2 linked regions of the Arabidopsis thaliana genome follow. The protein of the gene in region 1 interacts with the protein of each later gene in a biochemical or structural test. Each region holds a gene or a part of one and is shown on either strand. Other genes may lie near its edges.

Region 1 (4,064 bases):
TTTTTTAATCGTTTAATTTGTTGGGTTTACATGTTGACAACTTGACATGCGTTTTATTGCATTTCAAGTAACATTCTTACAGCTATTTCAATACGTATTTTATCTAAACCATCACACAAGTGTGTCATATGTTTCATTGTATTTGTAATGTATTCAAATATATGGTGTTTTAGATGAATTTCAAACTTAAAACTAAGGTCAACTGTGGTGATAATTATGGGGTAACTAAATTACCAAACTCGTTTGCAGTTAGGAACGAACCGAATGTTCTAGTATTAAGCACGTGTATTGATCCCGCCAATTATATGAGCAGTAAGTCTACTGTTCAATAGACAGAAAAATTGTAAATAGGTAAAGGCCCATTAGTGTGGTGCGGCTTTAAGACCGGCCCATTTTAAGTCGGTTGGTTCAAATCCATCACTTATTGAAAGAGGGAAAAAGAGAAAGACGAGACATTTAATGGTGGAATGGAAAATGTATAAGAAAATATTTCAAAATTTTGTGGCCAATCATTTTTTGGGATAAGGATCAACCAAAGAAGAAGATGTTTTCTATTGTTTATAAAAAGAGAAACTCAATCCTGAATATTATCTTCTTCTTTATTTTCGGATATTTGGGATAGCTAGGGAGAAGATTAAAAAAAATTGTAACTCATCATGTTCTTTCTTTTCTAGCGTATGCAAGCAAACATGTTGCGAATTTTTGCCATGATTAATGAATACCTTTTAACAAACCAAAAAAAATCAAAAATCCATTATCATGGATCTTCTACCTATATTATTGTTATTTGTAGTACCTCTATTTTCTTTCAACGATGGAACGTTTTTAAGTTTTAACTATAAAATTTTGCAAATTACATGAAAATGATTTATAAAATTGATGTTGTTACGGATGGTTCAACTACTTGATTTAATTATTAAGATAGTGTTCTCCTGATTAGCAACTTGGCCAATTTAACCTAAAAGAAACCGTGTTAGAACCATGTTGTCAAGCTGATGGGCGACATGTTTTATTGAGACAACCCCTAATTGATTAGACAAGAACCAAAAATGTTAGTTTGTTATAATAATGTCTGCATGTTTCACGCTTTTTGTTACTAATTCAAGTATGTTTTGTTTTGTAGTGAATTTCCTTCTATGTTTCCAAGCCCATGTTTCAGTTTCTCAAACCCTTCGAAGAGAAAAAGTGGTATCATGGATAAAACCAATTTCTTACGATCCGGTTTGGTTCAAATCGACCAATATATATAAAATATTAATTTTCAAAACAAACTAATTCCCGTAAACGCGCCGAGAGTTGGTAAGGGTTAGGTTGAGAGTTGGTCACTTGTGTGTTGCAACTTGAGACCGGTTATTCAATCCGACTGTGAAAGCGGCTGAGGTACAAACCAAACCCGGTTTGATCAAACGTAGGTAATAACTCTTTGAATACTCGTCTCTTTGTAATAATTAAAAACCAAACAACTTCATGGATCATTAAGACCATGATTATTCACATAAAATATTACAAATCAACCCAATTTGATCAAAACATAGGTCTTTACTATTGTGCAGAGACATGATGAATATTTAAAGATTTAATTAAAATGAAAACGCTTGATGGATCAAAGAAAACATAAGTCAAGATCAAGAAGATAGCTTTCTTGTTTGTAGGTCTAACTCCTGCAACGAGCAATTTTGCTGCAACCACGACTATAAGGATTAGCCTGAGCTCCGTTCTGACAATTGTAATAAGACGCACCTCTTCTTGAACAAGGCACACTGTTCCGTTTCAAAGACTGATAGCTTATGTATTTTGTGGTCGCCAATATTCTTCTATTGATCTCTGAGTCCATTTCTTCTTCCTCCGCCCCGATACACTCTGCTATTGAACCGTGGCAGCCTGAACCATTGTCTCCAGTCGTAGCCCATGCTACACCACCGAGGTCGTTGGCGAAGCCGGCTTGGACCGGAGGTGAAGAGATGATGAAGACGACGAGAATCGTAAGAGTTAAGAACAGAGTAAAGGACTTGTCCATTTTCTTGCCTTTCTTTGGGTTCTTTTGTTTGGTTATTATTGCTTAAGTTAATGTTTATATATACATGGTGAGTGCGTGGACTCGATTTTTTAATTTTGTAGTTGTTGAAGATTTTTTTTTCTCTTTTTTTGTTTTGTTTTTCAAATTCTATTTTGTGTTTTTATTAAAAGTTTCAGTATTTATTTAGAAGAATATGAGACATAGCATGACAATAACTTGTTGATTCGAATACTAGTAACATTTTCTCTTTGTTATATTAAAATTTTGAAAATTTAACGAGCTTCTGTTTAGAATTTTTGATTTCTGTAGTTACAATAGAATTTTTTGAACTTACATTATAGTTTCGAAATTTTACTTGTGTTATTTCGGTATTAACAGAAATGCCACTTGACAGTGAAATGAAAAAAAATGATTATGCAAATTAGTTAATTATTATTAATTGGAGAATTGTTGGGAGTGGTTGAATATTTGTTAGAGCCGACAGAAATTGAACCAAAACGATTTGGAATATTGGAGGGGTCAAGCCTTTTCTCATTATCCATTTGAATTTTTAAAATCAACACTATCATGTTTTATGATCTGAAAGCACTGAATCTAGATGACATTATGAATTTATAATTGACTTGTTCCTTAATCTAGGATATAGTAAGTTTTTAATCACTTTTCTGTAAGGTATTTTAAAAGTCATTTTATGGATTTCGATATCTGAATTTTGGTACTTTCATTTATTAGTAAACAATGATCGTTGGCATCGACCGAGATCAATATTAGTCATTGCAAATTACGTTTGGTACCAACTTTTAAACTACTGAATAACAAATACTCAAAAATATATTATCATAGTTCAATTTTTTAATTAAATACATATTCTGAAACAACGAAAAGCTATGCTTCATCTTCTCTTCCAACGACCATGAAAAATTGAAAAGAGTTGGGCCATCGTTATCCCAATAAAACAAAGAAAATAAAACCTAATCCTTCCTTAACTACAATAATCGAAAATCATGTTTTAAATAATAGATACTTCTAAAAAGCGAACCCTAATTTTCTTAGTCTCACCGAATCAAAACGCGTTTCTCACTCTCACCGGCCTTCGTATTGTTTAGAACCACGGATGAGTCGTCTCATAAAAACATGACGACATTAATAGAGTACATAGCAAACCAATCTAAGTAAATCGAGATCTTGGATATCATAAAAAGATAATTGGTATGTAAGACACATAAAAATTAATAGAAATATTTTCTTTTGACAATGCAAAAACTGTGTTCACATACACAAATATCAATTTCATGGACTTCTGAACACAAACAAACAATACAGACCTTTTCTTCTCCCATGAGTTCTCTCTACTCAATTCTAAGGTTTTACGAAGATACAATATGTAAGAATTAAGAAAGCTTCACAGTTTCATCTTTCTAACTTGCTGAGAACGTCATCCATTGGCGGTAACTCCTTCGATATCTCAGCCCAATCCGGCATCCCCTGAAAAAACAGAGTTTTTATTACTTACCACAAAACCTCCTCAAAAACCAATAAGTAGATATCAAACACGAGAAAGCAAGAGAGGAAAAGGTTTCTAGATGAAACTTACTCTACCCGATCTGCGGACTCGACCATCTAACCGCAGTATGATGTACACATCATCGCCCGGGTTAACTCCTTCAGATATCTGTTGATCTCTTATCCACCTGAAACAAACAAAACCAGAGACATCTTTAAGACTCAACAACAAAGTTGCCATCTTTCTTCTATCAAACTTTGATCAGCAACAAATGGCAATGAAAGTTTCGACCTTTCCCATTCACCAGGCGAAACAGTCTCGGCCTTGAACCTGATTTCACCTTTCAGCTTCGATTGGGCTACAACCGATTGAGCCCGTGTATCAAAATCTTCCTATCAAGTTAAGAGAACATCACTGTTTTGCAAAATGAGAATATTTTGTTTGTTTTTTTCAAAGACAGAATCTTTTCGTTACCCCAATTGAAGGAAGAGATGTAGCTGCCTTTGAAGAAGCTCCAAAACCTTTTTTCTCGATTTCCGGTGT
Region 2 (6,726 bases), on another chromosome or scaffold:
CAGATTGCAGCAAATGCAAGTAGTAGGACCAATGTGCGTTCTTCGTCTGTAACATCACGTCCTGATAGAAGCACAACAGTTTCAGCAACACCTCGGACACCGCCAAGACTAAAAGAAACAGTCACTCTAGCGTTTGGTAGACCAGTGGGTCATGTTAACTCGCCAAAACGAAACACCTCACCGGATGTTACAAGAACGAGGCCTAAAGGACGCTCTGCTTCTCCTTCTCTGATTCCGACTTTTTCAGGCACCTCACATACAACAACAACTCCCAAGTCTATAAAGCCATCTGCCACTGTTGCCGATTCAACTAGGCCAGGAAGGAAGTTGTCAAGAGCTTCTGTTCAAATGGCTATCAATCACTTGGTAATAACGTTCTCTTGTCATTATTTGATTATAGCTAAATATTTTTGTCATTTATAACGTTTATCGTGGTCAATAGTATAGTAACGTTTTTTATGAGGTTTTGCTTGACGATAATAGTGTCACTTCAAATGCAGGACTTGGCACGAAATGGTAAAGTTAGTACACATACGTTTTCAAGCCCAATGTTGTATCCACACAGCATCAGATCTTCTTCTTCGGGTCTAAGAAAACCGTGTGGTAGTAGTGAAGGCAGCTGCAGCAGCAGCAACCATGAAGAGGAAGATGGAAGAAGCTTAACGAAAGAAGGGAACAACACAGAGAACAAGAACGATAGTGCTCGTTACGACGCACTCTTGAATGTTAAAGATGTCAAGGATACAAACTGGCTACTTAACATTGATGATGAATCTCCTCAATCTCTCATCTTCGACAATGCTTTTGACTCTCCTCCTGATCTATTCTCTCCTCTCTGAGACTCTGACTCCTTTTGAGTTTTCTTTCCTGTTTGTTGTAGTTAAAAACAAGAGAGCTGCTTGGAAAAATAATCCTGTTTCACTCTTTTTAAATTCTTATGCAATCAAGAGAAAAACATTACACATAGTTCTTCTACTCGTTGTTTTTTTCTTTCAAAGTGTTTGTTTGTATTGATCAGCAGAAATATACAACTTTGACCCTTCTTGTTTAAATCAAAATATTTGCAAGAAAAGACACTATTGGTAGGATTCCGTTAAAATGCGTCTATATAGTAAAACAGAGAAGTGATTGATGTACTTCCGTTTATGTTCATAAGAGTACGACTTTGTAATAAATGGGTACTAGTTTGTTCATAAGAGTACGACGTGTAATAGAGTAAAGATGCAACAATTACCAAAAACGTTATAGATAACAAACCAAATAGTACATTGACGCGATTCATGTTTAATGTTTTTGTAGAAAGAAGAAAAAAAAATACATTATTTTTTACACTCTCCATCGTGGCATCAAATACACAAATCCAAAATTCTAAATAAATAACAGCAAAGAGAATAATAATAAATAGTTAAGAGGAAAAAAAATATAAAAAAGAGAAACGAACCGGTCTCCTTTGGATGGAGCCGGTTTAGAAAGGTAGTAGTGTTGTACCGTGTTATAAGACTTCTCTAACGTCCCTTTGGATTCATGATCTGAGAAAACACAGCACTTGGAGTGAGTCCATCTGAATCTTCGCTGGCCAAACTCCTACCACCGATGCTCATATCTATTCCACTGCTCCTCGAGTCCGTCACATTCCCTTCATACACATCAGAACTCTTGTCGTTCTTTCCTTTACAGTTTCCATCATCGTACTTAATCTCATCCATGTCCATGTCACCGCATACTCCTTTTCCGTTCTCTTCTGCGCTTTCCTGGAGCTGCAACGCAAATTCTAAGTTCCACAGAACATCTCCCATTGATGGTCTCTCAATGCCCTGGTCTAGAACACACTTCATCGCGGTTTCAGCAAACTTTTTGAAGCATTCTGGTGTGATCTTGCCCTTGAGGTAGGGATCAACGATTTGATCTAGCATGCCTTTCTTGTAGCAGTATGGTGCCCACTCAGCTAAGCTCACTTGTTCCTTTGCAAGTGTTGGGTTCAAGGCTGGACGAGCGCATAGAGCTTCGAATAGAACAACGCCAAAGGAGTAGACATCGGATTTCTCAGTCAGTTGCTGCCGTCTGAAATACTCTGGGTCAAGATAACCGAAACTTCCTTTCACAACTGTGCTTACGTGTGTGTGGTCTAGTGTAGGACCAGTCTTCGATAGACCAAAATCAGAGACCTTGGCCACCCATTTCTCATCCAATAGAATGTTTGTTGTCTTCACATCTCTATGGATGATTGTGTGTTTTGCACCAGTGTGTAGATAGTGTAAACCTCGGGCTGCTCCAATGCATATCTCAAGACGTTGCTTCCATGGAAGAGAAGGATTCTGGGTTTTGTAGAGATGCTCCCTCATTGTACCATGAGCCATGTAATCATAGACTAAGATCATTTCGCAGTTCTCTTCACAGTATCCAATCAAGGACACAAGATGACGATGTCTAAGCTTTGAAAGCATTTCAATCTCAGTCTGGAACTCATGTACACCTTGCTCGGACATTGGGTTGCCTCTCTTGATGGCTACCTTTGTAGTTCCGCCATCAATCTCTCCTCTGTAAACCTTGCCGAAACCACCAACACCAAGCACCCGGGACTCATCAAAGTTTTTAGTGGCAGCTTTGATCTCAGCAAACGAGAAGTGACGGCAAAGATTTGACGGAAGGGACGAGGCATAACTTCCTGTTGTGTTTGTCTTCGCCGAGCCAGCAGAATGTGAGTTTCCATACAGAGATAGTGGAAGCCACCCTGATGTTGCATCACTAGCAGGCTGGTAATCACCACGCTTACGTCTGCGGTAAGCACCAAACACACAAAACCCAATGATAAGGGCCAGAACAACTGCACCACTGGCTGCGCCTGCAATAATAGCCGTATTGCTTTTCGATTTCCTAGTAGTCGGGCGTAGGACTTTAGATGGATCAGCAGTCACCTGTGGACCAGGTATAGGATTGGTACCAGCCAGATTACCATCAGAAGTATTCATCTTGAATATCTCCACTCCATTAAGAAGAGAATCATAATACTCCGGCTTGTTAACTGGGTTAGGATGAAGAGCAAGCCACAAATCTTGCTGTCCATTTCCCTCTGGAGGATTCACCACGTAATCCTTGTGAAACGGAACCCCGTTTGAACTAGTCCAAGCAATCACATCAGCTTCAGGCTCAGCAGTTTGATTGTTGAGGTAGATTGTAAACACCCGTTGGTTGATCTTAGTGATATTCGAAGAAACCTCACAGAAATGAAGTCTAACAAGGTAAGTGAAACCAGAGTCAATGCTGAAAATCCAAGTAAGATTGTAGTTGAGATTGATCTGAGCTGTTGGACCCATAGACCTCGCGGTTGAATAAACATCCACAGGAGCAACATAAGTAGGAGTCCCCGTAGGATACTTAATCGTCATGTTGGGATCAGCAGTCTCTGGAATACCAAGTCCTGCACCAAATATATAAGGCTGATCATCATACCACGACCTATACAAACCCGTATCCGCGGAAGGCGAGATATCATTCCCTCCAACATTGAGCCTATACACATTCTCAAGAGCAGTACTGTTATCAATAGTAACAGAGCCAGATGATCCAACCATAGTCAAAGTCCCATCAGTACTACTATACATATCAGGCATTGAAGTAACCTCAATCCCATTAACAAACGCATACGCATTAGACGGAGCTGATTCCGGTGTAAACGTCATGTTCAACGTTCCACCTTCAACGTTGACAACAAACTCCTTGATGATGAAAGCGTAAGTCAACGCCTCCGCCGTCTGAGAAGCACTGAAATTCTTGAGAAGAGTGTAAGGACCAAAGGAGACGGAGAATAACGAGTTGGTAGCGTTGAGACCGTCGTACGAGTTTGGGTAGAAGTAGAGACGCACGAATTTACGACCTGATGCTACAGGGAAAGTGTAAGTGAAAGGAGATCGGAAAACTCTCGCCGTCATGTAAGGAACTTCGGGAACGGAAGGATCTTGTGTTAACGCTGGTGATGTTTTAGAGTCTTCAGAGGAAGATGATAAGAATTTTGATTTGACATCGGAGATCCATATACGGTTATCTGTGTCGGTTAGATTAGAAGCACCACCACCGCAATTCAATAGGATTTTCTCTGTTGGAGAGTAATCAGCAGCTGAGATTAAAGTTGCTGCAGATATGAGAAGAAGAAGAAGAAGAAGAGAGAGACGGAATCGTCCCTCTGTGATCTTCATCGATCAAGAGCACTTCTCCGGGAAGATCTTCTTCTCAGATCTATCAAACGAAAGAAAATCGAAACTATAAACTTCACAGATCTAAAAATGGAAAGTGCTAGAGGTACATGTTCGTTTGGTTACGAAAATTGAGCTTAAGAAACAGATGAAATTGAAGTTTGAATACAGTAGTAAGGGAGAGTGAAGTGAGGAAGATGATGATGATGATTACATACCTGAAGAATCGGGGAAGAAACCCTAAGCGATGAAATCGGAGAGAGTTTTTGGAGAAGACAGAGATATTTTGGGGGAGAGAGAGAGAAAATCAATTAATGAGTGGAGAGGTAAGTATAGTCAAGACGACGACAAAACGGACAAGCATTGTTGCTTCCCTCTACGCGTTAACGTTATTTTAATTTCAATAAGATTAAATTAAGATATAGTTATCGGGTTTAATTAATTGAAGCCGGCTTGAAGGTGGGTGAAGTGACGATAATGACCTTTGAGTATCAACAGCTGGAATTATATATGTCTTGACCATTCGAAGGATAATGTTGATTGGTATGGTTTGGATGACAGTTCATAAAATGTGAGAGAGTAAATCCATTAAACTAAAGAAAAGACAAGAGAATTTTATGAAACGCGTATTTTTGTGTGCGGTGGTGACTGCTCGTGGCTGAGCTGGTACTCTATATTATACTATAAAGGGAAAGAATGGGGCCTGCTTTGATAATAACTCGTTAGTTAGTTAGGATAGTTTACGTAATCATGGGCTTTTTACTCTGATTTCAGTTTATCTCCTATGGCCCAGTTATAAGTGGGCCTTATCTAACGTGCACATGATATATGTTTATGACAATCGGCGTAGCCTCCTTTTGATCGATCATGTCTAAGGTAAGGAGTAACCTTGATCTCCGATGTCAAATCCAAGTAACCTTGAATACAAATAAACCGTGGTTAAGGCCGAACGTGTGCAATTTTTTTGGTCTACACCTTCTTGATTCAAAACAGAGTTTGTGATCCTTGTTTTCTCAGTCTTTCAAAATAAAATAAAACTTTAAACCATTACATCAAACATGCACTAAATATTTACATTAACATATCATTAATTCTCTTTCAGACAACACATTTTTTTTTGTTTATGCCAATTTTAAATAATAAAAATTACATTTCAAACATACATGTTTCTGCTACTTCGCATTTGGGCACGCATGAGACGAGTCACATACATACACTCTTCCCAGTTCCCACTCTTAACTTTTCTTCACTCTAGGCAAACACAACCACCAAACCTACCAACTCGCTTAAATCGAAGCTTACCAATCACACTTGAAAGCTTCGGAGAATGATTCTTACTTAAACTCATATCCTTACTTGCATTTGTTACACTCAGACTCGCCGCACCAGTTGCAGCTGTTATAACACAAACATCACATTCTGTCACCATGCAATTACCGCCTAAGACCTTGTTTCTTCCATTTACTGCTTGGAATTCAAATTCAACGTGATCAGCCATTATATTTGGTTTGTTTCCCTCACCACCACCTCGATGCATTTCGGCATCCTCATAAAACACAAACATGTGATCCCTTTGAACCTCAGGAGCTTCTCTCGGAGCCCAACACCTAAACACTTTCTCTGCTTTACCAGTGACCACCCTTTTCTTTGTCTTCCATCTGCTTACGCACCTAACGCCAAGCCCAGCGTTGTTGTGACTATCATCCGAAAACGATACTACAACGAAGATAGCAAACCCCAAGAGTGTCTTTCGCAGGGAAGGAGTTATCTCTATCGTTGCAAATGAACCTGCCCGCAAATTATAAGAGGTTGCCTGATCTGCTCCTGCAGGCCCGCAAATGCTGAATGCAAGTGCTTTGATGAGTTCCTGGTCCCAACAAGAAAAAGGAAAATTACATATACGCTAAAGTATGTATGAGTGAGAAAGAAGGGACATGAGAACGAGAGAGTTACCTGCTGATGTTCGTTGCCAATGCTTGCTACTTTAGCCAGGCCTTTTACAACTCGTTTTCTAGCCACTTTTGGAGACTTATTGAAGCAATCGCTGAAGGTGTAATGACTAGGAAACTGCTCAAATCCCCAAGAAACTGACTCTAGAGACACACAACCATGCACGTTCAACAGTTTCAGGCTTTGGGGAAGCGCCGGAAGCAATATGAGGTTTCTACAATGTCTTAATCTAAGGCTATGTAGTTTAGATAACTGCTTTATGCTTTCAGGGATTTTGCTGAAACCATTCCGACCAAGATCCAACAGCACTACTGAAGGCAAGGAACAAATCTCTTCCGGTATATGCATCAAGGATGCATTGAAGAGGGATAAAGATACTAGGGCATAAAATCTTGGGACCAAGCCATGTAAACTTGAAGATGGCAGCCTTGGTCGAGGCAAATATTCTCTACGCTGCTCTGCATTCTCATTGAAAGTCAAGAGAAGATAATTCAAATTACTGATGCCAATTTCTGATATACCATTCTGGATAATTGATGTTGATACTTCTCTTATGGACATCCCAGATGGATCCGTTAGCTTAAGT

What was found. Proteins that work in one complex are often made in the same cells at the same time.
Region 2: the proteins of RALF1 (region 1) and FER form a complex in vitro, tested with the Arabidopsis thaliana proteins (one study listed by BioGRID).

Annotation. Positions count from the first base shown.
Region 1 is NC_003070.9:652,322-656,385, forward strand, and holds RALF1 (rapid alkalinization factor 1), read right to left. Parts: upstream 2,137-4,064; 5' UTR 2,018-2,136; coding exon 1,655-2,017; 3' UTR 1,283-1,654; downstream 1-1,282. Other genes in the region: LPA1 (tetratricopeptide repeat (TPR)-containing protein), read right to left, coding at 3,428-3,502, 3,612-3,708, 3,813-3,913, 3,996-4,064. UniProt on the Arabidopsis thaliana protein: Cell signaling peptide that may regulate plant stress, growth, and development.
Region 2 is NC_003074.8:19,116,372-19,123,097, forward strand, and holds FER (Malectin/receptor-like protein kinase family protein), read right to left. Parts: upstream 4,579-6,726; 5' UTR 4,409-4,578; intron 4,234-4,408; 5' UTR 4,194-4,233; coding exon 1,506-4,193; 3' UTR 1,213-1,505; downstream 1-1,212. Other genes in the region: AT3G51540 (mucin-5AC-like protein), read left to right, coding at 1-366, 501-839; AT3G51560 (Disease resistance protein (TIR-NBS-LRR class) family), read right to left, coding at 5,437-6,057, 6,144-6,726. UniProt on the Arabidopsis thaliana protein: Receptor-like protein kinase that mediates the female control of male gamete delivery during fertilization, including growth cessation of compatible pollen tubes ensuring a reproductive isolation barriers, by regulating MLO7 subcellular polarization upon pollen tube perception in the female gametophyte synergids.